Linked DNA regions of Pelodiscus sinensis. The main gene of each other region encodes a partner of the protein of the gene in region 2 in a complex. Links are inferred from orthologs where the notes say so. Each region holds a gene or a part of one and is shown on either strand. Other genes may lie near its edges.

Region 1 (9,877 bases), about 230 Mb from region 2:
CCCAGATTTAATACAGAAACGTCTTATTTTATACAAGTAAAAAGCCAAAAACATCATATTAACAGGAAACAAAATTAATGTAAAACTATGCAGATCACCATTCATATGTTAAATATGCATTGATTTTGTCTATAACAGGGTTGTCAAACATTTGGCCTCCTTGATGCATTTCTGTGACTCGTGTCCTACTGAGATTATACAGAACCTAATATTGTTTTCTGTTTTCAGATTGCAAAAACAGTCTTCCAAATGTAAGTCAATACAGCATCATCCTCTCAAGTCTGCAGAGAACCTGAAACAATAAATCAGAAGTGTGATATCTGTTCTCTATTAATGTGGGTTGGGATGAATTTAAACCCCATAATGAAATCTCATCAGCACTAATTATTTCAATAGATAAAATGGGGGGAAAGAGTGGGAATTATTGAAGGGAAAAATGAAGAAAAAAGGATAGAAAGAGAAATAAAGGGGAGAAATTGTAGTTCTCCTGTGTGTGAGTATATTTTCTTTCTGCGTGATAATGAATGCTAAAATGATAACCAAAAATGTAGTTACTATATAGTCTAATTGAGGGGAGTAAACAGTCCTATATTCACTGACCATAAATACAAACGGAATGTGGCCCTTCCTTAATCAGTTTGACATCTCCGTTCTATCCTTTGACTAGGATAAAGATAATAAATATTCCATGAGCATTTTTGTGATCTGTAATGGCCAGGATATAAATCTAACTAAAGCACTAATGAAGTCAATAAGATGTTCCATACAATGCGTAAGAGATTATGGAATTCAACTATACACTAATTTAAATGTATGATAACTGCTTGCAGACAATCTTTTTTTTTTAAATAAATATTTAGTTATAAAAAAACACAAACTACCAAAATCATAAGTTTCCATTTGAAATATGAAGCATTTTTTTTTTAAATTAAAGAAGGAAACATGCTCACATTATTTTTCTCTGCTCTCGGATTAAAAACAAAAATCAGAAAGTATTTAAATTATAGCCTATACATACAAAATGGTGTCTGAAGTTGAATGCCAAGTTTCAGACCAATGGAAAATAAACTTCTCAGTCCATTATGCATTAGCCATTTAAAATTAAGAGTTTATAATAAGTCTCTGAATACGTTCTCTCTATCATATAGATTAAGTGACTAAATTTCACTAAACTTGTAGATTTAGTCAGTCAACAAGCAATATTTGACAGACTGTTTATAAAAGTAAAGCTCAGGTTTATAAGGAATACATAATAATGCTAAAAACTACAGTCTGTAAAACAAGGACAAAACAAACAATGAATAATATTAGATAAGTCATATGCCTTTTCACTTTTCTATAAAGCCTTACACTTTTATATTTCATCCTTTTATAAAAAAAAGATTACAGATTTTTTTTTGAAACCTGAATATACAGGAACTTGATTCTATATTTCTGAATAGCAGCCAGTCTTCAAACCTCTGTTAGCTTGACATTTCTCTCATCAAAAAGATCCTCTCCCATGAAGTCAACTTGTCATATTTTCAGCAGCCTAGAAAGATAAGTATAATTCATTATAATAAACTGAGAATAGATACTGTGGAGCTAAAAATCAGGAATAACACTTATGGTTATTTCTTGCAACTACTTTTATTTTGTTAATAATGTTTAAATAATTTGTAGAAAATAAATCACGTGATATTTAATCTTAATACGCTGCTTAAATGGCTCTTTTATTGAATATTTTCATTTTAACAATTTCTCACTCTCACTATCCTTCTTTTATTAATTTATCCATCACTTGACAAAATATGACACAAGGATGCCAAGTATATAATTCTGTCAAGGACCTGTAGTCTGGACTTTTTGCACTGACTCATGCAGGTGGTGTTCAGATTAGGGCATGTTTCACTACAGACCCATGCACAGTCATGTGGTTACACCAACTTGTCAAGTTGTAAACAACAACAAAAAGGCTTTGTCTACACTACTGGTTTGCTATCTGCAGATTCCATGCTTTGGACCAAATGCAATTAGCAATAAAGAAAGAAGGCAACAGGATTTATTTCCTAAGATTATTTTATTTTATTTGAAATGCAAGGGAAATGTAAAATTCCATATGACAAGTTGAAAATGCAGTAATCTGAAATTCGATTTGCATTAATTTAAAAAAGACAGCTGCATGTTTTTCATAAACTGCCTTACCTTTAGTGCTTCTGTAGCCTTGCGTAGTTCTTTAATTACTGAAGATAAGGCCTCTGGGTTTATACCTTGCTCACACAACCGTACACATATAGACAGGGTTTCCATATCCAAACCAGTGTTTAATATTCTTGAAATTTCAAGCAGAACTGCGACAATTTTAAAAAAATTAAAATTGCTTTGTTAGATAAAAGTTTAAATAAGATTATTAAAATCATTTATTTTTTAAGAGTGGGATTTTCAAAAGCTGAAACTCTGTGGATGGTGACAATGGAAACACTGCACATTTCCCTCCATCCCCTCGTTTGAATCCCAACTGTAACATTTATAATCACCTTCCCTATGTGAGTCAGCAGTCTCAGTCTTCAAACTCAGATACACATTTACATTCTCTACTCTGTGATTCTCCATTCACTGAATCAGTATGTTATTTGTTTATTATTCCTGTTAAAATAGTTAACATGTCCACAGACTACAGTAATATTTAGTTTGTAGTCTGTAATTTTAAAACATTCTAAAATTGTAATAATAATTCAAATCTTTGCTCATTAAGTGGAAGGTAGGAAAGAAAACAGGAACAAATGAATGATTATAACAATATCATTTTGTATTACACTGATAGAAATGTAGCCGTGTTAGTCTGGTGTAGCTGAAACAAAATACAGGACTATGTAGCACTTTAAAGACTAACAAGATGGTTTATTAGATGATGAGCTTTCGTGGGCCAGACCCACTTCCTCAGATCAAATAATGGAAGAAAATAAATAGTCTCAACCATATATACCAAAGGATACAATTAAAAAAAATGAACACATATGAAAAGGACAAATCACATTTCAGAACAGAAGGGGTATGCGGGGGGAGGGGGCGGAGGGGGAGGGAGGGAAGGAAGGTGAATGCCTGTGAGTTAATGGTATTAGAGGTGATAATTGGGGAAGCTATCTTTGTAATGGGTAAGATAGCTGGGGTCTTTGTTCAGCCCCCTGCGGAGAGTGTCGAATTTTATCATGAATGCCAGTTCAGAGGATTCCCTTTCAAGTGCAGATTTGAAAGTCTTCTGAAGTAGGATGCAGGTGATTAGGTCATTGAGACAGTGTCCTTTCTGGTTGAAATGGCAAGCAACTGTTTTTTCTTTGTGATCCTGTCTAATGTCTGTTTTGTGGGCATTGATTCTTTGGCGAAGTGTCTGAGACGTTTGTCCAATGTACATAGCAGACGGACACTTTCGGCACATGATAGCATAGATTATATTTCTGGAGGCGCAGGAATATGTATTCTTGATTTTATAACTCACTTGGTTAGGCCCAATAATGGTGTCAGCAGAGTGAATATGTGGACAAAGCTGGCAACGCTGCTGCAGCCCAAGTAGCAGAGCTGGGGATGTGGCAGTCGAGGTAGTGGGCAGGGGCTAGAGATATGGCATCCACAATAGTGGGGCTGGAGAAACAGCAGCCTCAGTAGTGGGGCCGGGACAAACTGGGCTGCAGCAGTGTGGCTAGGGCCAGCAGTACGGATGGAATGGGATCTGGGGAGCTGGTAGCAGGGGACTTCCTCTGCTCCGGCAAATTCTCTCATTTGGGACTGATTAGGTCCCAAAGGTGCAGGAACGGGGAGGTCCAAACTGTACTCCGTTTCAAAGCTCTAATTATTATAGAGCAATTCAAGGTTTAGTTTTCAGCAAGACTCCCTGACAACACTAATTTATTTATATTAAAAAAATATTACTCATGTTTCTATAATCACAAAGAAACAAAGATTTCCAAAAAGGGACATAGAAATGCTATTTCACTGCTTCCAACTTTCTGCAAAGTCAGCAAATGGCTGGCCTGATACTTAATGTACTAACCTTGACATGATATATAGCTCATAAATACATAAAGTGTTTTTCTGTGGTACAAATTTATTGCATATTGAAAAAAATAAGGCTTTTTAAATAAAAAAAAGCTTTAATAAATAGGATCACCCACACATATAAAAAGGCCATTATGTTCAACTTTAGGCACTCATTTTTAGGAGTCTATATCCATAAATAGGAACCTGGAAGGTGGCCTAATTTTCAGAGGTGCAAAGGACCCAGAAGACCCCAAAGTCAATGAAACCTGCCAACTGTTGACACCTTTTGAATTTTGAGTTCTATTGACACGTTCTCCTTGACTAACTTATGTGGCTGCAATCTGTGATGAAAAACTGGAAAATACTGCAGTATATTTTGAAGTCAGAACACTACATTTAACTTTTAAAATCAGCTTTTAGTACGTATTTCCTGGGCATACACAATTTCTGATTATTTTGTTCTAATGGATTTTTTTTAAAATGGGAAAGTAGTGTTCCATAGTTTCAGCAGCCTGTCCATTGGGAGCTCGGACCCACCGTGGACAAGGGCTGCTGCCACCCCTCATTGCTGTCTCTGTATCAGAGACAGCTGCATGAGATAACAGGCAGCCATTCTGTGTGGAGAGCTGTTTTTTAAACTGGCTCTCCTCGCAGACCGGCTTCGCGAAAGAAGCCAGTTTAAATACAGAGGCAGCAGTCCTGGAAGTCTGGCCCTGCCCTGGGGACGACAGAATAGTCGACTTAATCACTAAGAGTTCATGTGGTTAGTCGCCTGTTCTATTACACGTATCTAACATCCCTCGTCCATAGCACTGAGCCTATGCATACTACACCGCCAAACAGATATTTTCATCATAACAATAATAAAAAATCTTGGTACTTTACAGTTTTCTGTTTTCATGTCAATATTTACATCCTGTTCCCCATCCCTCAAAAAAAAAAAGTTTAGAGATCTATTTGATTAAGGAAATGTACTTCCATGTTTAATTTGTGGACATTACAAACAGGAAGACAATAAATAAAGGAAAGAATATTCAATTATTTTGCTACATCTTACAACTGGAAAGGGGAAAGTAATTTATCACAAATGTTCGCTTTCGTGCAACATTAACGCCCAGTTCTACATTGAGAAGTGACTTTGAAAAAAAAAATCGTCAGATCCCACACGTATTGGATTGTCATGGCCCCACCCCTTCCGCCCGCGGCAGCCAAGGGCCATTTCAAAAATCTGAGACGTGGCCCCCGCTTCTAGAATTATTGCCCATCCCATAATAGACTAGTGGTTGTACCCACTCGCCCAAGTTGCACACACGTAGCCGAGAGCGTCACTTCATTTAAGAGAGGGAGTCAAACCCGGGGAGCCCTCCCGGGGAGAAATGCCGCGCTCTCCGGAGCACCCGGCTCGCCCGAGGAAAAGTCACTTTCGCGCTGTTTTTTCCCCGAACGTGGCGTTCTCGGAGCAGCCCGCAGGAGCCACTGCCGCGCTTCCTCCCCGGCCCGGGCAATGCCCCCGCGCCGCGACCCCGGGCAGGGCCTCAATTGCAGGCTCCGGCAACATCCCTACACTCCGGGCGCCGCCGCCACAGAGCGCGCGATAGGAAGCGGGGCGCCCTGTATTAGGCCCGTGTGCAACCGGGCACCTGAAGCGACCGCAGCCCCCCCGGACTCACCGTCCATCGTTTCTCTCACCGCGTTCAAATTGGCTGCGCTGCTCGCCATAGCGACAGGAGACTAGGCGCGAGACCTCTAACCCGGAAGGAAACTGGCTCCTTCTCATTCTCATTCACACACGGGCACGCCAGCAGCGAAACCTCTCCGCGCGCGCGGCTGCTCGCCCTTGATTGGCCTGCTCTGTCACCCTGAAGCCCCGCCCCGCTTGACTGACTCCGCCCGCCGTGATGTTTTGAATAGCTCAGTCTCCCTTACAACTGGAGAGATGTAAGGGGGGAGGAGGTACCCGTTCGAATTTGTGAAGCGGACCGGTGCTGATTGGTCGGTTCGAGAGTGAAGGCGAGCCGCGGTTGGCTGGGCTTGAGCGCCGGCGCGCGACGATTGGGCAGCCGCGGTGAAAGGGGGCGTGGCAGTTAAAGCGCTTCCTCGCTTGTCGTCCTCCCCCCCCAGCACAGGCTGAGCGCGGACGCGAGAGGAAGCAGGAGTTTAGCCATGCAGACGCCGGAGTGAGGCATGAAAGCGGCGAGGGGTGCCCGGCGCTGCCCGGCCCAACGGCGGCTGCACAGGGACCCGCGGCTGTGACAGGCCGAATCCCGCGAGCACCGAGCCTGTCGTTAACTCGGGCCCCGAGCTTGCGGGGCGCGCGGTGCCTCTGCTGGCGCTCGCGGCTCGCCTGGCGGGCTCCGCCACGCTGGTGCTTTCCCAGGGAGCCGGTGGCGGAGCGGATAAGGCTGTGAGTTTCCCGCTAGAGCCCGGGCTATCCGCGGGGCGGAGGGAGGGGAGCAGAGGGTTGTTGTGAGACGAGAGACCTCGGGCTTGATGATCGAATGGTCCTTTATGGTCATAAACTCCAGGGCATTTATTTTGCCCCAGTTCTAGCCTCAAAATGCCGGTAAATAAACGTAAGTAAACAAGGGGTGACCGTCAATGGGGGCTTCGGATATACTGGCCAGGAAAGGTCCTTCCAGGAAATCACATGCCTACAGAACCGGAGTAAATCCCTGGTAGGAAAGTCAAATTTTCCTCTTTCTTAGGGTAAAGAAACATTATTCTCTAACTTATACATAGTTGTTAAATCATTCAAAGGTTTTAATAAGTTTTCTGTAACAGATGAGTACCTGCCTGGCTATCTCAAACTTCTGCTTCTCAATTCCTGCTGTCTGACTTGCTCTACTTTCCTGTTACTTCCTCCTCTGTCCACTTTTCTGATTTTCCTTTTTCTGAAATACCATACCTTCTTTCAAGTGTCTTGTCTCTCTCTTTTACTTAATCATAAAGTATTTCACTTACATTACAAGATAATTTTAAGATTATCTTCTCTGTGTGAAGCAACTTTTTGAATGCTACCTGCAAGTTTTTAATGCTTTCAGAAATACTTCAGTAAAATAAGAGCTGCATTATTGCCAGTTGGTCTTTCCTTTCTGTCTCTGCCCTTTCTCTTGGCTTTGTTCTGATTAATTATCATAATCACATACTTAAAGAATAGAATACAAATTGGAATGTATCAAGCATTTTGCATGTCTTCTACAATTTCAAATATATTGATTTTGGGTATGCAGAATACAAAGTGTATGGCATTCATTGTTTATATTATTTTATTACAATATTTGCCTTGTGAAAATGATAAATAAAAGAAATAGTATTTTCCAGTTCACCTCATGTAAGTACTGCAGTGCAATATCTTTCTCCTGAAAGCGTAATTCACAAATGCAGACTTCTTTTTTACATAATTGTGCTAAAAATGAAACAATTTAAAATTTTAGAGCCTACAAATCCACTCATTCCTAAGACACAACTTAATGCTTTCCACTTCTTATTGGAGTTCACATGCTGCTTTTGTAGCTGGCATTGCAAGGTAAATATGCTAAACCAGTAGTTTTTAAACTTTTTTTTCTCATGACCTGGTTGCAGAAAATGTTTGATGCCCATGACCCAGCATAATTTCACTAAAGCCGTGGTGTCCAACACACTAGCTACTAGAGGCTATTTGTCCAGTTGAGTGTGGCTAGTTTGCTATAGCAGTAGCCTTCATAGTGACTGCTGCTTCAGAACTGGTGTAACACCACTGGGATGGGAGTGTGGGCTGTGGGGCTAAGGATGAGAGCTTTGAAGTGTAGGAAGGGGTTCCAGCTTTTGAGGGGGTCAGGGCTGGTGCAAAAGGGGCTTACCTTGAATAGCTCCTGGTCAGTGGTTCAGGCGGAGTGCTAACACAGGCTTCCTGCCTCTCCTGGCACTGCAGACCATGCTGTGCCCCATTAAAAGATGGCTCCCAGCTGAGGGGAGTGTGGAGCTAATACTCGGAGCAGTATACAGAGGCCTGTGTGCTTTCTTTCCCCTCCACATAGGAGCTGGGCCTGCTGCGGTACAGTGCAGTCTGCAGTTAGGAGAGGCAAGGAGCCTGCCTTAGCATCACTGCTGGTCACTTGATCACTCTGTAGCAAAGAAACCCAGTGCTCAACATTCCACAACACAGTACTGGTCCCGACCTGTAGTTTGAAAACCACTGTGCTAAATATTGGCATACCCCTTCATGCTTTGGCTGCCATTCCAGAGGCCATGCTTCCATGCTGATGGTGGCTATTAAACAAATTACATGTGTGACTGAACTCCTTTCAGGATAATTGTACCGTATATACCGGCGTACAAGATGACTTTTGATGTTAAAAAAATCCCCCAAAAATCTGGGGTCGTCTTATATGCCGGTTATACAGGCGGCAGGGCATCCCAGGCACGCCTGGGCTGCCCCGCCGCCGGCTTCCCCCAAGGCTTTGCAAAGCCTCGGAGGGGCTCCGGCGGCGGGGCAGCCCAGGCGCGCCTGGGATACCCCCCCCCCCCGCCGGCTTCCCCCGAGGCTTTGCAAAGCCGCGGAGGGGCTCCGGCGGCGGCTTCCCCCGAGGCTTTGCAAAGCCGCGGAGGGGCTCCGGCGGCGGGGCAGCCCAGGCGCGCCTGGGCTGTCCCGCTGCCAGGCATCCTCAGAGGCTTTGCTCCCGGTGTCCCTGGTCTGCTGGGGACCGTCTCCAGCAGACCAGGGACACCAGGAGCAAAGGAGGCGGAGGGGCGCTGGGGTATAAGACGAAACCCTATCTTTTAACTAAAAAATTAGGGGGTCGTCTTATACGCCGGAAAATACGGTATGTCTCCTGCTCTATTTTACCATCATTTTGCCATACATATTATAGTAGTCTTGGATGAGAACCCAGCGTATATTGGACATTTAAAGAATATTTTCACTTGCAGATTTGACAAAATGCAAAGAAGGTTCCAATGTGTGACTTCTAAAGATGCAGTAACTTCTTGCGTAATGTTGTAGTTGTATTCCCTGCTGCTGTAAGCGAAATTATGTGAAGCAAATCCAATTTCCCCATAAAATTAATGTCAATAGGGAGAGTTAGGTTCTAGGGAAACTTTTTTTCAGGGATAAAAGACAATATAGACATATTCCATATACATTTTAAACAATTGAATACTGTACATAGGAATGATTATTGTGAAACATGATTGAGGTGATGGAGTAAGGAATGGAATATTTCCTACAAGAATGACTTCCTACTAAATGATTAACAAGCATTTTGCTGAGCCCTCAAGGATTATTAATTGTTAAGGTAGCCTCACATTCTAAAAGGGTGCAGGGGCTGAGGTAAGAAACACAAAAGATGCATGGCAGTGGCTGTATACGCTTCTATGAACATGAAGATGAATCAAAGCTATTTTACTCTCCTCCAGGGCTGTACAGTTGCCAACTTTCCAAAGTGCCCAGGAGGACTGTTTCGTGTGTGTGTGTGTGCGTGTGTGTGAGAGAGAGAGAGAGACATGTGCACACACACTTTGGCTACATCTACACTGGCCCCTTTTCCGAAAGGGGCATGCTAATTTCACAGGTCGTAATAGGGAAATCCGCGGGGGATTTAAATATCCCCCACGGCATTTAAATAAAAATGTCCGCCGCTTTTTTCCGGCTTTTAGAAAAGCCGGAAAAGAGCGTCTACACTGGCCCCGATCCTCCGGAAAAAAGCCCTTTTCCGGAGGATCTCTTATTCCTTACTTCAAAGTAGGAATAAGAGATCCTCCGGAAAAGGGCTTTTTTCCGGAGGATCGGGGTCAGTGTAGACGCTCTTTTCCGGCTTTTCTAAAAGCCGGAAAAAAGCGGCGGACATTTTTATTTAAATGCCGCGGGGGATATTTAAATCCCCCG
Region 2 (9,877 bases):
TAGACATAGCCATAGGAAGACACAGTTCATGCCCTTTGTGACCCCCCTGCTGGGCATGCTCTAACTGTAGGCCCAGTATAAAAGCCAGAGGAGCAGCTCAGTTGGGGCTGACCATGTGAGAGGAAGGAGCTTCTGCCGGAACCAAGGAGCAGCCACCCCCACTGGCCCAGCAACAGCAGCCGTAGCAACTGTGGCAAGCAGCCAGGAGGACGCAGGTGGGGAATACTCCGGCTAGAGGACCGGCATAGGAACTAGCCCAGAGCAGGGAGCTGGAGGTGTCCCGGCGAGCTCAGCGTATTTTGGGTAAGGATGTTAAGTGTCGGGTAATTCACTAATCGAATAGTCGATGCATTTTTGCATTGACTATTTGATTAGTCGATAGGGTGGTGCTGCTCCTTTGAAATGCTGCTGCAGTGTTTCAAAGGGGCAGCACCGCATGGCACCTGGGGTCAGCTGGGGACTCCAGTTGATCCTGGCGCTGCCCCTTTGAAACGCCACTGCGGCATTTCAAAAGAGCAGCACTGTATGGAACCCAGAACCCCAGGCTCCGTGCGGCACTGCTGCTTTAAACTATCCCTCTCTTCCACTCCCCCCTTTCTCTATCTAATAGAGGCAGCAGGAGGTGGGAGGGGGGGCGGGGAGAGACTAGTCAGCTATCCCAGAGGGGGTGGACCGAAGACAATGATCAAGTGATTTGTCTCATGCCATCCATCTCCAGCCTCTGACCAACAGAGGCCAGGGACACCATTTCTATCCCCTGGTTAATAGCCTTTTATGGACTTCCATGAAATTATCTAGCTTCTCTTTAAACTCTGTTATAGTCTTAGCCTTCACAGCCTCCTCTGGCAAGGAGCTCCACAGGTTGACTACACGCTGTGTGAAGAACTTTCTTTTATTAGTTTTAAACCTGCTACCCATTAATTTCATTTGGTGCCCTCTAGTTCCTCTATTATGGGAACTAATAAATAACTTTTCTTTATTTGCCCTCTCCACATCACTCATGATTTTATATACAGGCAGTCCCCGACTTACGCTGATCCGACTTATGTCGGATCCGCACTTACGAACGGGGCTTTTCTCGCCCCGGAGCTCACGGGCGGCGGGTTGCCACCCGTGTCCTCTGGGGAGAGAAAAGCTTCTCCCGGTCTCCCTGGTCTGCTGGACCCCCCCACCAGACCAGGGACACCCAAGCAAAGCCGCCCAGGCAGCGGGACTCCCGCCGCCTGGGCGGCTTTGCTCCTGTCCCCCTGGTCTGCTGGGGGGGGTCCAGCGGCTTTGCTGGACCCCCCCAGCAGACTAGGGGGATAGGAGCAAAGCCACGGAGCACGCCCGCAGCGGGACAGCCCAAGTGCGCCCGGGTTGTCCCGCTGCGGGCATGCTCTAAGGCATTGCTCCTGTCCCCCTGGTCTGCTGGGGGGGGGGGAGGATGCAGCTAGTGCCACCCTCCCAGCAGACCAGGCTTTTCTTGCCTACCCCTGGGGTAGAGCAGCTGGGGGCTGCCGGGTTGGTCCCGCAGCGCCGCTCCGGACCAACCCGGCAGCACCCCAGCTGCTCTGCCCCAGGCGTCCTGATTCAGCCGCTGCTGGTCAGTTTTAGCAGCGGCTGAATCAGGACGCCTGGGGCAGAGCAGCTGGGGTGCTGCTGGGTTGCTCCAGTAGCGCTGAGGAGCCGCGCTACTGGAGCAACCCAGCAGCACCCCAGCTGCTCTGCCCCAGGCGTCCCCAAGTCAGCCGCTGCTGAAACTGACCAGCAGCTGACTACAGGAAGCCCGAGGCAGAGTTGCTCTGCCCCAGGCTTCCTGGAATCAGCCGCTGATCAGTTTCAGCAGCAGCTGACTTGGGGACGACTGGGTTTCTTAAGCTGAATCTGTATGTAAGTCAGAACTGGCATCCACATTCAGCTGCAGTTGAAACTGATCAGTTTCAGCAGCGGCTGACGCCAGTTCCGACTTACATACAGATTCAACTTAAGAACAAACCTACAGTCCCTATCTTGTACGTAACCCGGGGACTGCCTGTACCTCTATCATATCCCCCCTCAGTCTCCTCTTTTCTAAACTGAAAAGTCCCAGTCGCTTTAACCTCTTTTCATATGGGACCCGTTCCAAACCCCTAATCATTTTAGTTGTCCTTTTCTGAACCCTTTCTAAGGCCAAAATATCTTTTTTGAGGTGAGGAGACCATATCTGTACACAATATTCAAGATGTGGGCATACCATAGTTTTATACCATAGTCATAGTTTTATACAGAATAAGATATTCTGTGTCTTATTTTCTATCCCTTTCTTAATAATTCCTAACATCCTATTTGCCTTTTTGACCACTGCTGCACACTGTGTGGAAGTTTTCAGAGAACTATCTACGATAACACCAAGATCTCTTTCCTGATTTGTCGTAGCCAAATTAGCCCCCATCATACTGTACGTATACTTGAGGTTATTTTTTCCAATGTGCATTACTTTACACTTATCCACATTAAATTTCATTTGCCATTTTGTTGCCCAATCACTCAGTTTGGTGAGATCTTTTTGAAGTTCTTTACAGTCTGCTTCTGTCTTGACTATCTTAAACTTGACTGTACTGTCATCTGGCAAAAATACAGCTCCATTGTTCAAATATATTGAACTCCATGTCCCAAATCAGACAGAATAAACAAACAAGGAATATACCAATTAAAGTCACTTACAACTAAAATACTTATAAATCATACATAAGCATGCAGTTATTTTGCATCTTAACATCAGACACATACCATCCAATTCTTTCCCAGCATCTTCGTTTGCTGGGTCCATAAGTAAGTACAGCATCCCAGAGATCTATGTCTGGAGTCATGCTCGGTTCTGACTGAGAATCAGGAGTAAGATTGGATGCTGATTGGAATCCCTCATCTTCTGATTGATCTATACTTTGAGGAACCTGTAAATAATCATGAGAGTTCAAACTCTACACACAGATGCAACATTTACTGAGAAAATTATGCTAATGGCATTTAGATGTTGGTCTCAAATAATTATTGATGTTCATTTTAAGCACTTGAGCTTCATTATTTATACAAACTAAAATTTTGCTATGTGTTTCTATGGATGGGTATCTTTTGCTTTTTGAATTTTCAGTCTTTCTTTTTTTCCTCTTGTGGACTGTTGCTGTGTAGTTTTTTTTCCCCTGCCCCTGTAATTATCCCATGTAATAGAAAAGGCTACATGCTACTTAGTGTGAAGTTGGTCCAGTAGCAATTCCCTTCCCTGGGGCTCTGTATGCTCTTGCCTATTGAGCTGAGTGTGGTGGGAATAGGGGCATAGAGTAGGAGGCTGCTCCCTGAATCTACAGCCCTATACAAAGAAATTGCAGATTCAGCTTTCATTTGGGTTTAAGATAGGAACTTGAAAGGAAGACTGGCACACTTAAAGAGCTACATTGCCACTTTACCTGTAGCTGTGAGTATCCATTGTAGTGAAAGGGATCAGTCAGATACTGGGTAAAAGGAGGCAACTCTTTTTCTTTACATGCCTGTACTCCTACTCTCAGGTTGGAAAACACAGTGCTAAATATTCTTAGGAGCAACCCTGCATCCAATAGGTCAAATCTATTACATATACCTATTACATGTATGTTGCACAACAAATTCATAACAAAGTCAGTGAGAGTTCCATGGTTGAGATGTTCAGAGTTTTACATGATTGGGCCCTGATCCTGCAAAATCAGGCATGTGTTTATGCATATGACTAGTCTTAGTGGAAATGGTAAGAGACACATTAATCATAAGAATTTGAGGGATCAAGACCTGTGTCACTTATTTTGTGAAAAAGAAAAAATATTTTAAATCCACACCTTTGTAATGTTGATACAACTACCAGAAATTTCTCTCTCTCTCTCTCTCTCTCTATATATATATATATACACACATTTCAAAAAAAGAATACTTGAAATGTTTATATTCTGAAATAAAATAATAAGTATAGTGAAAATAAATAGACCCCGTACTTTAATTGCAAGTCCAGACAAATCCGCATTGTCAGGTACTGGTGGCAGATCCAACCTAATGTCCATATCATATGTACGGCTATGGACAAGAGCACCAAAGAGTGAGACACGTGTTTCTTTTTCAAACTTGTCACCAACAGGGTAGTTCTGTGAAAATAATCCAATGGCAGGAAGTCCAGTGCCAGGTGCAGCCTCCATTATCTGAAGTGTCTTTTGAATTGTATCATTAAACTGATATTCTTCATTTGTAATTAAAGACTGTATATCAGCTTCAAATACACTCACATCATAATAATCATATCCCTGATATTTAACATTTCTCCCAACATACTTGTTGTTCAGAAAATAGTCCTTTTTTTGTGGTAGAAGCTGAGGGGGACCAGTTCCTACAAGTTGTACAAGAAGATCCAGAACAGAATTTACTTCAGTAAATGGTAAACAATTAGATGTTTCCAATTCCTCCACAAGTTTCTCCAGCCTATCTGCTTGAGCACCCATTCCACCAACCCTCAAATTGAAGGACAGCATTAAAATTTTGTTTTTCACTGGAAGTCTGGAAATGTTTGACTGTACTTTACGGGTCTCATCCTGAAAAAGGTTCATGAACAGGGCATTATATGCAATCTTTTTTAGATTTTGCTTAGCCCTTTTCTTGCTGATCTTCTGTGCGCCTAGATGGACCTTCCATGACAAACCTGTCATGTGTGCTTCACACAAGTCACCAAACAGCTGTGTAATGCTCTCCATTTCAACACAAATGAGTGGTGCTGCAGTAAAGTCAATTTATTGCATATACAACTTTATTTTTGGTCTTTGATTCCATTTCAAGGCCTGGAACATACAAAGGGGGAAAAAGACATTAGTAACTAACTACACAAGTAGAACCTCAGTAAGTATGTGTTCATAAACTTTAAATTTAAAATACAGTTACTGTAACACATACAGTGTTACATACACAAACTAATCAAAGTACTACTTCATAAACTGTTTCATATACAAGAACACCTACCTACTGCTTAACTGTTTTAACCATTTATATAAGCAACTGCTGCCTGACCTGCTGCAACAGGTATGAGGTCCTACCACTGGTTTCACTATGGCCAGGGGGTTCCACCTCCTGGCTTGATGATGGCCCCTCCAGAGCTGGCTCAGCATGGTGCGGTTGGTTGCCACTAGAGTTCACTGGCAAGGGCTGGTTAACCAGTAAGCAATCCACTAAGCCTCATGCTTGCCATTTAACATCCCCGTAAACACCCTAATTTGGATCTCACACCTTTCACCAAGGTTAGCCCCTGGTGGACCACCAGACACTATTTACTTGCATGTCCAAAGATTAGGGCCACTTACAGTGCCCACTGTTTGGAAATGACAGTCCGTGGTCAATGGGAGCTGTGGGAAGAGGTGTCTTGGTCTATACTGCTTCTGGCAATTCCCATTGTACGGGAACGGCAATCTGAAGCCAATGGGAGCTGCAAGCAGCCATACTTGCAGATGCACAAGTAAATAAAGCATTGGCAGCCCCCCCAGGGGCTATCCCTAATGAACAGCTTGCAGCCTGTGGGCCACTTATTAACCACTCCTGTTTTACACATAGAGAAAAAGCCCTGCCATGGTACATGAACAAATCCAGGTCATCACATGAAGAGAGTGTTTCTCTGTCAAGCACTAGCACCTCCCAGTGTCTTGTCAATACTAACCTGTCAGGAAAGACCCCCCCCCCCCAACAACTTGATTAACAAAGGTAACTTTCAGCAGCAAGCTCAGCTCCATTTACAGTGTCAAAAAGGTGTGAGCGCAAAATTATTCCAGCCACGGTCACAGTTTGAGAGCTAGTGTAGACAGAGCTGGGGCGATTGTACCAGTCGCTAAAAGCAGGAGCAGACCACACAACCGTAAGAACAGCAGCGCCCAGCCCAGCCCGGCTCCGCGGCCACCACCCGAAGATGTGCAGCCCCCCCCCCCCCCCAACAGTGACTGTGAGCCGAGCCAGACCACGCTCCCCCCGTGACTGGCCCCCTCCCCCAACGGGGGCAGGCCCCACCCTGCAACACCCGAGGCAGCCCGCAGCTCCCCGCGCGTGACGCCCCCGCCCCAGCCCTTACCCCGCGCTCAGCAGCCCCAGGCGCCTCTCAGGGCCGCGACAGCAGCGACCGCCGCGCGTCCCGCTCTCCGGCTCCGGCAAGAGCGCGGCGGCGCCGCCCTCGGGACGTCACGGGAGAGCGACGGGCCCGGCAGCCGGGAGGGGGAGAGCGGGGCAGGGACGCGGAGCGGGCGGCGCTCGGCTCCCTTCGCGGGTGCACGGGGGCGCCGGAGGAGGGGGGCAGGGGCTCGCCTTGCTGCCTAGCGCTGGAAAGTGTGGGGCGGCTGCGAAGGGCGGGGCGGCTTGCGCGGAGCAGACAGGGAGCTGCAGGCGCAGTAGATACACGGGCGGCGCCTGCCTGCAGCGTGCCCGCCAGCGCCTCTCCAGCCTCCCCCAGCTAGCTGCCCAGGGCTGTAGGGCCCACTGACTCGGGGGGGGGCTGGTTGTAGGGTTGCCAACAACGGTCTAATCCCACAAACCCAAACACCCTGCCCCTGCCCCCTTTCCTGTGAGGGGCCATTTACTCCGCCCGTCCCTTCATTTCTCGTTTCGCCCCCCTCACCAGGCCACGGGAAAAGGTTGCAGTATGAAGGGGCTCTGAGCGGAAGCCCGGGGGCTCGCAGTGCGGGAAGGAGAGCTGGGCTGAAGCCTGGGGTAGCGGGTTAGGGTGCAGGAGATGAGGGTCTGGGTTCAGGGCTGGAGAAGGGGTTTCAGGTGTGAGGTACTGGCTGAATCAGGAGGTTGTGGCGTTGAGGGGATTTGGGGGGCAGGAAGGGGGTTGGGGTGCTGGAAGTAGTGAAGGGTGCAGGTTCTGGCCAGGTGGTACCTTATGTTGCTCCCAGTTGGTGGGGGGGGGGGGGGCAGGTGGCACCATGCACTGCCCTCAACTACTAGTGGCTGTGGTTCCCAGCTAATAGCTGCAGAATTGGCACTTGGAGTGGGAACATCATGCAGATGCACCCCTGGCATGCAAAGGTTCTGAGAGCAGAGCAGGCAGGGAGTCTGGCTCAGCCCCTTCTCTTCGTCACACACCCCTGGACTTCTGGTGCCCTGAAATCTTTCAGTCTGGCTTCAGTAGCCTCTGAGAGAGAGGCCCACTTCTGAGAGACCCCAAATGAAATTGGGCAGGGTGGAGGACAGGGAGTTGCCACTGCCTCTTTCCTCTGGAGCCATTCCGGAGTGCTGGCTCCAACAGCACCTGCTGCTCTTCTGTCCTCCCTAGGAAGCAGAGGCCAGTTACTGCAGATAACTAGACGTTTAACCAGACTTGCTGGTTGTAAACTGGACACCTGGTAACCCTATTCTGGCATGGCAGTGGGGAGCACAGGCCATTGGCTGCACAGATCACTCTGCTGCACCCCCCCCTCCACTCCACCCCACACACACCAAGGGACAGGCATGTTCCAGAAACACCCCAGGATCCTGTCCCTCAGCACCAGGTGACAGGTCAGGCCAGCAGGATCCAGGTGTAGGGTAACAAGGTTGTGTGGGGGATCCAGGTGCAAGGGGTAGTTGGTTGTTGTGGGGTTCTGCAAAAGGTGCAGATGAAGGTGGTTGGAGCTCATCCGGAGTCTCTGTATGTTGTTTTGGCTCACCTTATTGATAATTTTATATCAATACCGTAAATTGGATTTTCCTTTCAAACTAAAGTAGGTGTTTTATTTTTAGTTTGATTGCTATTATTGCATTACACTTTTTAGCATTTACACTTCCAATATATTTTTGTGTAGACCAAGTTATAGTAAAGAATGCCACTGGAAGACAGTTAATGTACAGAAATAAACAATTTTTATTGTAATAGTTGGCTAATACATATCAACCTTTAAAAACAATCTTTTGAATTTATATGCAAAGTAATCCTACTGAAAAAATCGTACTTGAAAATATTCCATTTAGTTTGATAAAGAGCTCAAATTAAAATAATTTAAAATACAAAAATCTTTGTGTCATTCTAGCATTGACTACAGAATATTACAATTTAATGAAGGCAGGCTGGAAGTATAACTTCAGCAAAATGTTTTTGCCATCAGAAAATGCTGACCATGTAAAACATTTTGTAAGGAGATGGTTGGTTTAGACAAATTTACCATTTTTGGGGAAAAAATGAAATTAGTTTTGAAATTTGAAACTATTTAATTTTTCAATTAAAATAACTTTTTGTTTAGAAATTTAAGTTTCTGTATAGTTTTAAAAAGTCAAAATAAAAAGTAAATGTTTCAGTTGACCTGGTATGAATTTTTTGGTTCATGAGAATCAGATTTTGAATTTTCATCCCAATTTGGGACAGTAAAAGTTTTCAAAATCTCAAAAGCTCTCACAGTATGGAAAACTGCTTCCTTCTGACCTCCAGTCAAAATTCAGTATGAGCTACAGAAGCCAAAATAGGACTAGTTATATGGTGACCCATATTAATAGAACATTACTACAATTTAAAGTTGTGATATTCAGATTGTTTTGACGTAAGTACTGTTACATGTTGTGTTCCCACATGGGCCCCAATCTTGCAATCTATATACTTAATTTTAAGCATATGAGTAGTTGTTTTAGGTAGAATTTTCAAAAGCAGCTAAATCAAAGAGAAGCCTAAGCAACTTATGAGTAGGGCTACTCATAAATTTTCAGTAAAGGATGAGTCACGAGACCAAACCATTTTGTTAAATGTGTTGCATATTTGGCAAAACTTCAATAAAACACAATTAGAGCCTCGGGCTCTAAGGCTCCCTTCTCCATAGCAGGGAGCACGCTAACCCTGGGAGTCTGGCTGGGGCTGAGGCTTTCAGAGCTGGCTAGTCTCTTCCTTCTGTGGCTCAGCTCTTGATAACCTTATTTTTGACTTGAGCAAGTTAAACATGGATGAAAGATCACATATAAAATATCTACCATGTATTTCAATCCAAGTGACAGGAATAGACTTCGTAGAGATAAGTAAAAAAAGGCACTGCTTTATATTTTGGGATCTGGAATTAATACCCTGAGCTCATTTTGTTAGATGCATTAGTTTTACGCTGACAACTGAGCTATGTCACCACATAAACGTAGCTATTTTTATACATTTTCAAATGTTCACCTTGTTCATTGTGCTTAATCATGATAAAATATTAATATTCCTATATGTAGAAAACATACAATCTCTCCATTGCTTGGAAGATTAAAATAGTTCTTAGTAAAGCGCTTTATTTTTAAAACTGATATTTATTCTTTTAATTACTTCTTTTTTTATCATTTACAGACCCTACTAATTTCCAATCTTAATTGGGAGAGTGAAGAATGAAAAACAAAGTTCCTGTTAACAAACTACTTTTAAAATTATGAATATTTCAGTATGAGCTAGATACCACAAATTTACAGCATTCAACCATTGGAATTCATATAGAAAGATGCTGGGTATGGCAAGAGAATTAATATGGTAAATGCTATCCCGGATAGAACATGCATTTAAAAGCAGCAAAATCATTTGATAGGGAGTTACATGTAAATGCAGGTTTTGCATGAATAACTTCATACATGCACAATTTGCAGACTCACAGCAAGAGCTCTCAGCTAAAAATGTGGCCTTTTTAAACAAAAATATTTAATAAAAAGTCATAACACAATTGTAAATGGCTGTGGCCATAGTATGATAATCTCTTCGTTTACTGATTTAAAAGAAAACCAAAAGTGACAATTTTTTTCTTTCTGTTATGACGAAATGTGTCAAATGATAGAGCTAGTCAAGTGACTTCAGTTTCCAACAATCTAGTCTCTTACTACAAAGAAAAAAATCAGCACAATTATTAGTCAAGCTACACAACAGAATCCCAAAAATACATTTCTACTG
Region 3 (9,877 bases), on a different chromosome or scaffold from region 2:
TTGCAGAGAGAAGTCTTCATGTGATGTTATACCAAATTTCAGACGTTCAAATGCTACCCCAACAGCTGAATGAACGAAGAAGGCTTTGCAAAGACAAGGAAATGTCCATGGAAGCAAAGGTCCTGAAGGGAACTGAAAAGGGGAACTATACTCTCCCTTCATACCCAAAGGGCCCAGCAAACTTGTGGACTCCAGTATACAAGATATCCCATAATCCTGTTACACACTGGAGTACAGTTTAATTTAATGGATTCTCAAGTCAGAAATCCTGCTTCATCTTTGGGATTTAAAAGACTCAAGAAATCCATCACTAACAAAGATGGCAAGAGTGTTACATGTGAATTAAACATGATCTAAGACAAAGGCTCTCTGCAGTCCCCTCTTCCAGCTCACCTTCTTGCATCCTTGCTCCATACTTGTCCCTCTGTGTCTCCATTTAATCCTGTCTCAGAATCTCTTCTCCCAACCACAGAAATGCGCATCATTTCATTCTGACCAACTCCAATTACAGCCTTGCCAACTCACATCCCCCACCCCATCTTCTGTAAATTACAAAGGGGAAAAGAAGGGAATTTGGTATCAGTACGAGCTTCATGCTGCTGGGCTACGTCCACCATATGATTTTTTTTTTGCCTTAGTCTCTCCAACTAGTTATGTAAGTGACACCAAATGAGCAGTGTCCTAGATGCTGCACTGACACCAATGAGAAACTAATCCAGAGCCATTAGATAATCTGCCCATTTACAGGAGCACATATGGATGGTTCTGACCACCATAGCACCTATTTCTTGCTGATCCTTAAAATCTTTCCTTGGCCCAACCCATGCAGTCTCAAAGAAAGATACAAAGTCTGAAAAGAAAAACTGTTTCCTGAGGAGCATCATCTGCATATTTCCTTCAGGCTCTGTCAAATATCTGGTGATACTCAGATCATTTTAACTAAAGGAAATGGACATAAACAACAGATTCTACTAAGGAGAATCCAGCTCCCACTTACTATACCTTCTGGGTCTTGATCTGCTCCACCACAACCATCACCGAGGGGAAGAGGAGTTGGAACTGCAAAGCAAAGAACAAGATGTAAAATTAGACGAAGTACTCCTACGTGAAGAGGGAACGTTTGGGGCTAGTACAGACAGCAGCTAATTGTAGTGGTTTACCAGTCTATCACCTCACTGGCCCCACTTCGTGTTTTGGATATACTTGGAAGGGAGACCATGGCTTCTGCATAGAGATGAGATGATTATACCAGGATAAGGTGATGCTACTTTACCCTAATGTCAACAACTAGAGGTGAGGCTTATCTCGAGATTCTCTGGTCACTGTCTAAGGCTGTAACGGATGACAAGAGTTGTGCCAATGTGCTGAAAGTACTCTCTAGCTGCTGCTGAAGTTGCTCAAGATGATAAATTGAGAAGACTCCAATTTGAGGATAGGAAGAGTCACACTGGCTTCCCTCCTGTTTTGCAGCTAAACTGTAAATGGGACTTTTGGAGGCAGACAGAAACTGATGGATGGTTCAAGGGGGAGCTATTTACATTCCTGACAAGGCAGTGATGCTTGCCTCCGCAACTGACAGTCAAGAAGATTCTGTCAGGTAGGCACATCACCCCAACAGTTGTGCTCCATGGTGAAAAAGTCATTAAAAAAACCAAACTGGTTTGTAGTCTGAGAGCTAGAGCTGTTTAAAAATCAAGTGCAGGCTATAGCTTTCTGATATTTCTTAAATGTGATACATACTATCAGCTATTTCAATTTTGCACGAAGATGGAAATTGGAAACGAAAATTTATTTTTTACATGTACTACTATCCTATATATTAAGGCAAAAGATGGCACTAATACAATTTTAAGGCTCAGAAGTTAAGTGTACAAACATCAGCAATTCAGAATATAAAGTTCTAGTAACAATGGTAGCTCTGCAACACTGCGCATGTTATATATGCCCATAGTAAGGTGACAACAAATGCAATATACCTGATCCAGGGAGTAGTTAATGTGAGAAATGGAGAGGTGAGGGTCAGCCAGGAACTGTAACAAAAGTTAATGCAAAGCAAAATAAGTCTCTAATCAATAGCACTAAACCTAGGTGTAAAAAGGTAAAGAGCAAAATGAACCCTCAGATGCTTTGGAAAAAAGTCCCAGTAACCTTACCAGAGTAGGGATGTTAGTGGGTAGTCAAGCGGAGTACTTGACTACTCACTCCCTTCCCCCCAAACCCCACTTGCTGCCTTTGTATGGGAGGCGGGGGAGGGGAAGAGGCAGGAGCCAGCTCAAAAGCTGGTTTCCCTTCAGCACCATCTCTGCTGTGCTGCCTCCCTACCCTGCTGCTTTTAATCCGGGGGGGGGGAGGGGGGAATTAGGAGGCTGTTCTGGCAGCACCAGTTCACAGTAGCCAAGGTTGACCACGGCCAGGGGCTGCTGCCAGCTCACACTAGTCTAGGATGCTGTGCCTCTGCATTTTAAATGTAGTAAGAGCTCCATGGCTCTTAAAATGCAGAGGTGCAGTGCAGATGGCCCCCAGAGGCCCCAGGAACTACCCCCACCGGGACTCTGCATAGTGGCCCTTTACAAATATCACACAATTAGTCGGTATCGACTACACAATCAGCCAGACAACTGCAATTTAACATGCTTAGCTGAGAGACTTTTGAGTTACATCCCCCCGCAGGCTGTTACTTATGATGCAGCCCGTTTAATTCACTTTCAGTGACTCAAAGTGAATCTACACAAGAGATGACGTGATGCCTACCAGCTTGGTTGATGCACCATGGATTTAACCAAGGGCCTTAACAGCTATACAATGAGTCTCTACAGCTTGGCCTGAGGGACGAGGATCTGAGGACTGAGACATTTTCACTCTCTGTAGGTCAGACATGTGGAGGGAGGGGGTGAAGGAGCAAAGAATGGACATGTAACACACTGACCAGTGGGTTATAATGGAACTTCACAGCAGCAATTTAGAAAATATCCGCAGTGGAAATCAAAGATTCCATCCCATCGTCTGCTTCTTGTTAGCTTATTTGTTATTGGAGACAAGCTTCCACTGCATGGTATTTCAGCTCATAACACTGAACAAGTTCTTCCAGTTCTCTCCCTTACCTCCTGCTCCAGGTCAAGCAACGCCTGTCGATAGGGCTGCAGCACTGAATCGAGCCCTGTACAGAAGGCCCGCAAATAAATCCCATGTAATCCACATAGATTCTGCTGGGAAGGATGATGGTCCTAAAAAATCAAATAGTTTTGCATTAGCCGTAGGACATTGGTGAGTGAACTGGGGACTGTGGCCCAGATACCTGAGATATTTAGGAACTTACCTTCTATTAATTTCAGTCTTCAGCTAGGGATGTAAAATCCTGTTTAAATTAGTTAACTGGTTAAATGTTAACCGGTTAAACTTAACTGAGTAAACACGGGTGGGCTGGAGCACCCTGTGCTGGGCTGGGAATCAGCAGCCTTACATGGGGCTGGCAGCTCATATGAGCGGGCAGCCATGGGGCCTGCTCCTGAGTAACAGTTAACTGTTATCCAGTAAGCATCACCCATTAACGGCGATAGGGGCTTTTTTGCGGAAAAGAGCGTCTAGATTGGCATGGACACTTTTCTGCAAAAAGTGCTTTTGCAGAAAAGCGTCCATGCCAATCTAGACGCTCTGTTCCAAAAATGCTTTTAACGGAAAACTTTTCCGTTAAAAGCATTTCCAGAAAATCATGCCAGTCTAGACGTAGCCTTATAGTTTTAGCCTTCACTGAAGGTACCATTAAAATCAACTGTTAATCAGACATGAGTCAGCTGTCAAAGATGGAGCAGTATTGTATTCAGTCCCTTTGGATATACAAATAAGGAACTCTTGAGATAGAAGACTGCATAATACAGTGGCCATTTGTAAATTTCACTGTTCCATTGTGCTGAAGTGAACTGTTCACAAATGTATCTTAATCCATTTTACAGACATCCCTAAGAACATAAGAATGACCAGCCTGGGTCAGACAGACCAAAGGTCCATCTAGCTCAGAATCCTGTCCGCCAACAATGGCCTTCAGGTGCCCCAGAGGGAACAAACAGAACAAAATCATCAAGTGATCCTTCCTCTGTCGCCAATTCCTAGACTCTGACAAACAGAGGTTAGGGACACCATTCTCACCCATCCCGGCTAATAAGCATTGACAGACCTAACCTCCATGAATCAATCTAACTCTTTTTGAACACTTTTAAAGTCCTGGGGTTCGTTTAGACTGTATTCCTCTCTCGAAAGAGAAATGCAAATGAAGGAGATAAAAAATTCAAATGAAATGCGGATTTGCAAATTTTGCAGTTCATTTGCACTCATGTGAGTGCGCTTTTTCAAAAAAAAACTGCACTTTTTTTTTCTTCCCAAAGAGCAGCCTCTGTGAGTGGTGGGTCCCTTGTGGGGCTGGCGCATCCCCCAACCTCTAGCCGACAGGGAGCTGCTCCAGCCGGCTGAGGACCATGCTGACAGTGACCCAAGGGACCTCTCACAGCCCTGCTTTCTCCCGCCAGATCTTGCTGCAGCCACGGTGGAATGGGGCTGTGCACCGCCCCCGCAAACCGCTGTCACTGCATCGCTGAAGGGGCCTGCGCCGGGCGCCTCTGGGCAAGAGCCGCTCACGAAGCGTAGCGCTGGCCCGGCCCCGCCGGCAGCCCCCCGGCCCACCTGCTGCTGCACGTGGCCCGTGTACTGCTCGATGAACTCGGTGAAGCGGATGTAGTCGGTGCCCAGGCGGCAGAGGCGGCTCAGAACACTGCTCTCGCTGGGGTGCAGGAACGGTAGCTCCTGGGACACCTGCGGGGAGCGGGGCCGGGTGAGCGCGGGGCCGGCGGGAGGGGGGGACCGCACCTGCGGGGGGAGGGAGGAGGGAGGGGGGGCCGCCCCTGCAGGGGGAGGGGCGGAGGAGGAGGGAGAGGGGGGGCCGCCCCTGCAGGGGGGGAGGAGGGGGGAGGGGGGGCCGCCCCTGCAGGGGGAGGGGCGGAGGAGGAGGGAGAGGGGGGGCCGCCCCTGCAGGGGGGGAGGGGGGGGGCCCCTGCAGGGGGGGAGAGGGGGGGCCGCCCCTGCAGGGGGGGAGGGCGGAGGAGGAGGGAGAGGGGGGGCCGTCCCTGCAGGGGGGGAGGGGGGGGGGCCGCCCCTGCAGGGGGAGGGGCGGAGGAGGAGGGAGAGGGGGGGCCGCCCCTGCAGGGGGGGAGGGGGGGGCCCCTGCAGGGGGGGAGAGGGGGGGCCGCCCCTGCAGGGGGGGAGGGGGGGGGCCCCTGCAGGGGGGGAGAGGGGGGGGCCGCCCCTGCAGGGGGGGGGGGCGGAGGAGGAGGGAGAGGGGGGGCCGCCCCTGCAGGGGGAGAGGAGGGAGAGGGGGGCCGCCCCTGCAGGGAGAAGGGGGGAGCCGTACCTGCAGGCCGCTCCTCTTGCTCCAGGTGAAGGCAGCCCCGGGGTACCCGCTCAGCGCCAGGAGCAGCTCGTGAATCATCCTGCAGCTAGGAGCGGGCTCCCGCAAAGGCCCCTGGGACCTGTAGTCCCGCTCCTCGCACAGCCCGACGGGAGCGGCTGCTCCCGCAAAGGCCCCTGGGACCTGTAGTCCCGCTCCTCGCACAGCCCGACGGGAGCGAGGCCCCAGGCGTGCGGGGGCGCTCTCGGGCCGGTCGCCTGCCCAGCTCGTGCTCTGCAGCCCCCCGGCCCGGGCCCGGTCTCTCGTCCCGGGGGCAGCGCCCCGCCTGCCCTGCGCCGCGCGAGGACCGTCTCTTTCTTTCGCTCGGAGCGGCCTCGGTTCCCGCTTCGCAAAGGGCCCGCGGCCCCGCCCCGCCCCGCCCGGAGCCAGACCCCGCCCCGAGCCAGACCTCGCCTGGCCCCGCCCCGCCCCGAGCCAGACCTCGCCTGGCCCCGGCCCCGAGCCAGACCTCGCCCGGCCCCGCCCCCGCCCGGCCCCGAGCCAGACCTCGCCTGGCCCCGCCCCGCCCCGAGCCAGACCTCGCCTGGCTCCGCCCCGGCCCCGAGCCAGACCTCGCCTGGCCCCGCCCCCGCCCCGCCCGGCCCCGACCCAGACCTCGCCTGGCCCCGCCCCCGCCCCGCCCGGCCCCGAGCCAGACCTCGCCTGGCCCCGCCCCCGCCCCGAGCCAGACCTCGCCTGGCCCCGCCCCGCCCCGAGCCAGACCTCGCCTGGCCCCGCCCCCGCCCCGCCCGGCCCCGACCCAGACCTCGCCTGGCCCCGCCCCGGCCCCGAGCCAGACCTCGCCTGGCCCCGCCCGGCCCCGACCCAGACCTCGCCTGGCCCCGCCCCCGCCCCGAGCCAGACCTCGCCTGGCCCCGCCCCGCCCCGAGCCAGACCTCGCCTGGCCCCGCCCCCGCCCCGCCCGGCCCCGACCCAGACCTCGCCTGGCCCCGCCCCCGCCCGGCCCCGACCCAGACCTCGCCTGGCCCCGCCCCCGCCCCGAGCCAGACCTCGCCTGGCCCCGCCCCGAGCCAGACCTCGCCTGGCCCCGCCCCCGCCCCGAGCCAGACCTCGCCTGGCCCCGCCCCGAGCCAGACCTCGCCTGGCCCCGCCCCGCCCCGCCCAACAGACTGAGCGCGGGCCCCGAAACGGCCCCTCAGAGATTGAAGCGGGCCCCGGGTCTGGTTACCGGCCAGTGCTCGAGCGCGGAGCGATCCCCCCCCCCCCCGAAGGGCCCTGGGGCAGCGCTGTTCCGCGGGCGGGGCGATTTGTAAGCACGAGAGGCAGAGCTGAGACTCGCCCAGCGCTGCCCTGAGGCGGGGCCGCTGTGGAGTCTTTGTGCTGAAGCTCGGTGCAGCGCTGCTCTTCGGAAGTGTCTGGGGCTGCACTTTTCTACCCAAGAAGCGAGGCTCAGGGAGTGGAGTTTTGAGGGAATTGTCTCTGCCTAGGAACTGGAATATTGCCATTACGCACTGTGGCTGCCTCTAGACTGGCAGGATTTTGCGCAAATACTTTTAACAGAAAAGTTTTTACATTAAAAGTATGTGCGCAAGAGAGCGTCTACACTGGCACAGGTGCGTTTGCGCAAAAGCATCCGGGCCAGTGTAGACGCTCTCTTGCGCAAGAAAGCTCTGATGGCCATTTTAGCCATCGGGCTTTCTTGCGCAAGAAATTAACTTGCCTGTCTACACTGGCCCTCTTGCGCAAGAATACTTGTGCAAAAGGGCTTATCCCTGAGCGGGAGCGTCAAAGTATTTGTGCAAGAACCACTGATTTGGTACAGTACAAAGTCATTGTTCTTGCGCAAATACTCGTGGCCAGTGTAGACAGGCAGCAAGATTTTGCGCAAAATCTTGCCAGTTTAGACGCACCCTGTTACTAGCTGAATTCATTTACAAGACAACACTGTAACTTCAGTAAAGTATTTAATGCCAGCAGTGTGCTCTGTACTGTATTTTACATAAAAGTCAGTCTCTGCTCCCTAAGAGCTTACAGCCAAAACCACGGAGACGGAGAAGATGGTTTTACAGAGCTGGGAGTAACTATTTTTCATGTATAGACATTTATTGTCGGTACCAGGAAAGAAGTCACTTGTCTTAAAGACAAGTTAGCAAGATGCTACCTCTGAGTTTTTCCTCTCTTCAGATTCAACACTCATTTTCTCAAGATGTGTATGATTTTCATGGGAACTTGAAGTTAATTTAAGACCTGAACTGACTACCAAACAGCTAACAGGTAATTTTTTTTCCTCATTTGGTTTGGGTTGTTTCTCTGTCAGTAGACTTTTTTTTCTTATTAATCTGATTAAACAAACACTGAGTATTGAGATTTACAAATCCATTGCTGCTTGGTGTATTGTAAGGTTTCACAACCCTAGCCTACATCCAAGTTTCAAGTGTTGTCTAGCATCCCACTGAGTATTACTGTTAAGATTTGTAATGCATTGTGACAGTCCACTGAATATCAAACATGCAATTAATTGACACAAATATAGAGGCTCATTGGGCAGGAAATGTTCATTTTAGAAAGAATCACAATATAGAAGTATATTTTCTATTTTATGGGTGAATGAGATTTTACCAGAAAGAACACATTAGTCCTAAACTCAGACTGCTCCTTCAGCTTTGGGGCATACAGTCCCATTCTGTTATCTTGGACACTTACTGGACCAACTTTTTGTTTATCAACAGTTTTCTGTGCAAAGACAATTATTTGCTATCATCTTATTCTGATGTTTTAAGTCTTTTCAGTTTTCTTAATTGGAATCAGGGTTTGCAAAAAAGAGTCACTGAAGAGAAAACAGCTCAGTGTGCTCCAGTGATCAAAAAGGCTAACAGCATGGTAGGAACTGTGAGGAAAAGGATAGAAAATAAGACAGAAAATATAATGCCACTATATAAGTCAATAGTGTATTTATTTCTTGCGTATTGGGTTCATTTCTGGTGGTTCTATCTGAAAAAAATATAGTGGAACTGGAAAAGATTTAGAGAAGGGCAACAAAAACGATCAAAGGTTTGGAACAGCTTCCACATAAAAAGAGGCTAAAAGGTTTAGAGCTGTTCAGCTTAGAAAAGAGACAACTAAGAGGGGATATGAGAAAGGTTTATAAAATCATGAATGTTGAATGTGACTGGATGTATCAGACCCTGAGGTCCCCTGCTGAAGCCTACCACACCCTGCCCCAAAAAGGGAGCAGTGCTAGTATGGTATAGAAAGGAACTGAAAGGGAGCATCCAATCAGGAAGAGGATGCAAACTAATTAGCTGTAGCTGAAACAAAATACAGGACTATGTAGCACTTTAAAGACTAACAAGATGGTTTATTAGATGATGAGCTTTCGTGGGCCAGACCCACTTCCTCAGATCAAATAGTGGAAGAAAATAGTCACAACCATATATACCAAAGGATACAATTTTAAAAAAATGAACACACATGAAAAGGACAAATCACATTACAGAACAGAAGGGGGATTTGGGGGGGGGGGAAAGGAAGGTGAATGCCAGTGAGTTAATGATATTAGAGGTGGGGAAGGGGAAATGTCTGTGAGTTAATAGAATTAGAGGTGATAATTGGGGAAGCTGTCTTTGTAATGTGTAAGATAGCCGGGGTCTTTGTGAAGTCCGGTGCGGAGAGTGTCGAATTTTAGCATGAATGCCAGTTCAGAGGATTCCCTTTCAAGTGCAGATTTGAATGTCTTCTGAAGTAGGATGCAGGTCAGCAGGTCATTGAGACTGTGTCCTTTCTGGTTGAAATGACAAGCAACTGTTTTTTCTTTGTGATCCTGTCTAATGTCTGTTTTGTGGGCATTGATTCTTTGGCGAAGTGTCTGAGACGTTTGTCCAATGTACATAGCAGACGGACACTTTCGGCACATGATAGCATAGATTATATTTCTGGAGGCGCAGGAATATGTATTCTTGATCTTGTAACTCACTTGGTTAGGCCCAATAATGGTGTCAGCAGAGTGAATATGTGGACAAACAAACTTTCCCTTTGTTGCAAGGGAAAGTACCAGGGTTGGTATTAGTGTGGTATGTCCTGTGGTTGTTGGTAAGAATCATCTTGAGATTAGGTGGTTGTCTATAGGAGACTATGGGTCTGTCTCCCAGAGCTTCTTGGAGTTTAGTGTCCTGTTCCAGTATAGGCTGTAATCTATTGATAATGTGTTGGACAGGTATAAGTTGGGAGCTGTAGGTGATGACAAGTGGTGTTCTATTGTTGGTTTTCTTGGGTCTGTCTTGTAGTAGATGGTTTCTAGGTATTCGTTTGGCTCTTTCAATTTGCTTTTTTATTTCTCCAGGTGGGTAGTTGAGGTTTATAAATGCTTGGTAGAGATCCTGAAGTTTCTGGCCTCTGTCTGTGGAATTTGAGCAGATGCGGTTGTATCGAAGGGCTTGGCTATAGATGATGGATCGTATGGTGTGTGCTGGATGGGAGCTGGAA

What was found.
Region 1: the proteins of TUBGCP6 (region 2) and MZT1 are in contact, whole or in part, in a crystal structure (PDB 6M33), measured with the Homo sapiens proteins. The link is inferred for Pelodiscus sinensis from reciprocal best matches to the Homo sapiens genes TUBGCP6 and MZT1. Residues at the interface, in NP_065194.3 of Homo sapiens: Met1, Ala2, Ile4, Leu7, Phe8, Asp10, Leu11, Cys12, Ala14, Leu15, Pro17, Ala33, Leu37, Val40, Ala41, Ala44, Leu45, Asn48, Ile70, Leu73, Lys85, Arg88, Leu89, Leu92, Val93, Glu95, Leu96, Leu104, Leu105, Ser109; in NP_001065243.1 of Homo sapiens: Asn17, Ala20, Val21, Thr24, Val27, Leu28, Glu30, Ile31, Ser32, Ile34, Leu35, Asn36, Thr37, Leu39, Glu42, Thr43, Leu44, Ile46, Cys47, Arg49, Leu50, Cys51, Glu52, Gln53, Ile55, Asn56, Pro57, Glu58, Ala59, Leu60.
Region 3: the proteins of TUBGCP6 (region 2) and TUBGCP4 are in contact, whole or in part, in a cryo-EM structure (PDB 7QJE), measured with the Homo sapiens proteins. The link is inferred for Pelodiscus sinensis from reciprocal best matches to the Homo sapiens genes TUBGCP6 and TUBGCP4. Residues at the interface, in NP_065194.3 of Homo sapiens: Leu312, Thr313, Ala315, Gly316, Arg317, Ala319, Phe320, Phe323, Leu326, His327, Glu349, Pro390, Glu391, Ser392, Ser395, Leu396, Glu399, Tyr403, Ser455, Leu456, Leu457, Thr458, Gly460, Phe461, Lys464, Lys465, Arg468, Arg471, Tyr472, Glu475; in NP_001273343.1 of Homo sapiens: Met1, Ile2, His3, Glu4, Leu6, Leu7, Ser10, Gly11, Tyr12, Pro13, Gly14, Ser15, Ile16, Gln29, Phe31, Pro32, Phe33, Leu34, His35, Pro36, Glu38, Thr56, Ile59, Glu60, Thr63, Val66, Gln67, Gln68, Ile84, Arg87.

Annotation. Positions count from the first base shown.
Region 1 is NC_134711.1:269,167,645-269,177,521, reverse strand, and holds the start of MZT1 (mitotic-spindle organizing protein 1), read right to left. Parts: upstream 5,866-9,877; 5' UTR 5,734-5,865; coding exon 5,685-5,733; intron 2,331-5,684; coding exon 2,185-2,330; intron 1,532-2,184; coding exon 1,508-1,531; 3' UTR 1-1,507. UniProt on the Homo sapiens protein: Required for the recruitment and the assembly of the gamma-tubulin ring complex (gTuRC) at the centrosome.
Region 2 is NC_134711.1:37,235,043-37,244,919, forward strand, and holds the start of TUBGCP6 (gamma-tubulin complex component 6), read right to left. Parts: upstream 6,398-9,877; 5' UTR 6,083-6,397; intron 4,812-6,082; 5' UTR 4,728-4,811; coding exon 3,981-4,727; intron 2,916-3,980; coding exon 2,752-2,915; intron 1-2,751. Other genes in the region: polyamine deacetylase HDAC10, read right to left, coding at 9,796-9,806. UniProt on the Homo sapiens protein: Component of the gamma-tubulin ring complex (gTuRC) which mediates microtubule nucleation.
Region 3 is NW_027465934.1:449,212-459,088, forward strand, and holds the start of TUBGCP4 (gamma-tubulin complex component 4), read right to left. Parts: upstream 5,850-9,877; 5' UTR 5,477-5,849; coding exon 5,399-5,476; intron 4,804-5,398; coding exon 4,675-4,803; intron 3,225-4,674; coding exon 3,102-3,224; intron 2,031-3,101; coding exon 1,977-2,030; intron 1,060-1,976; coding exon 1,003-1,059; intron 1-1,002. Other genes in the region: uncharacterized protein LOC142825186, read right to left, coding at 9,391-9,877. UniProt on the Homo sapiens protein: Component of the gamma-tubulin ring complex (gTuRC) which mediates microtubule nucleation.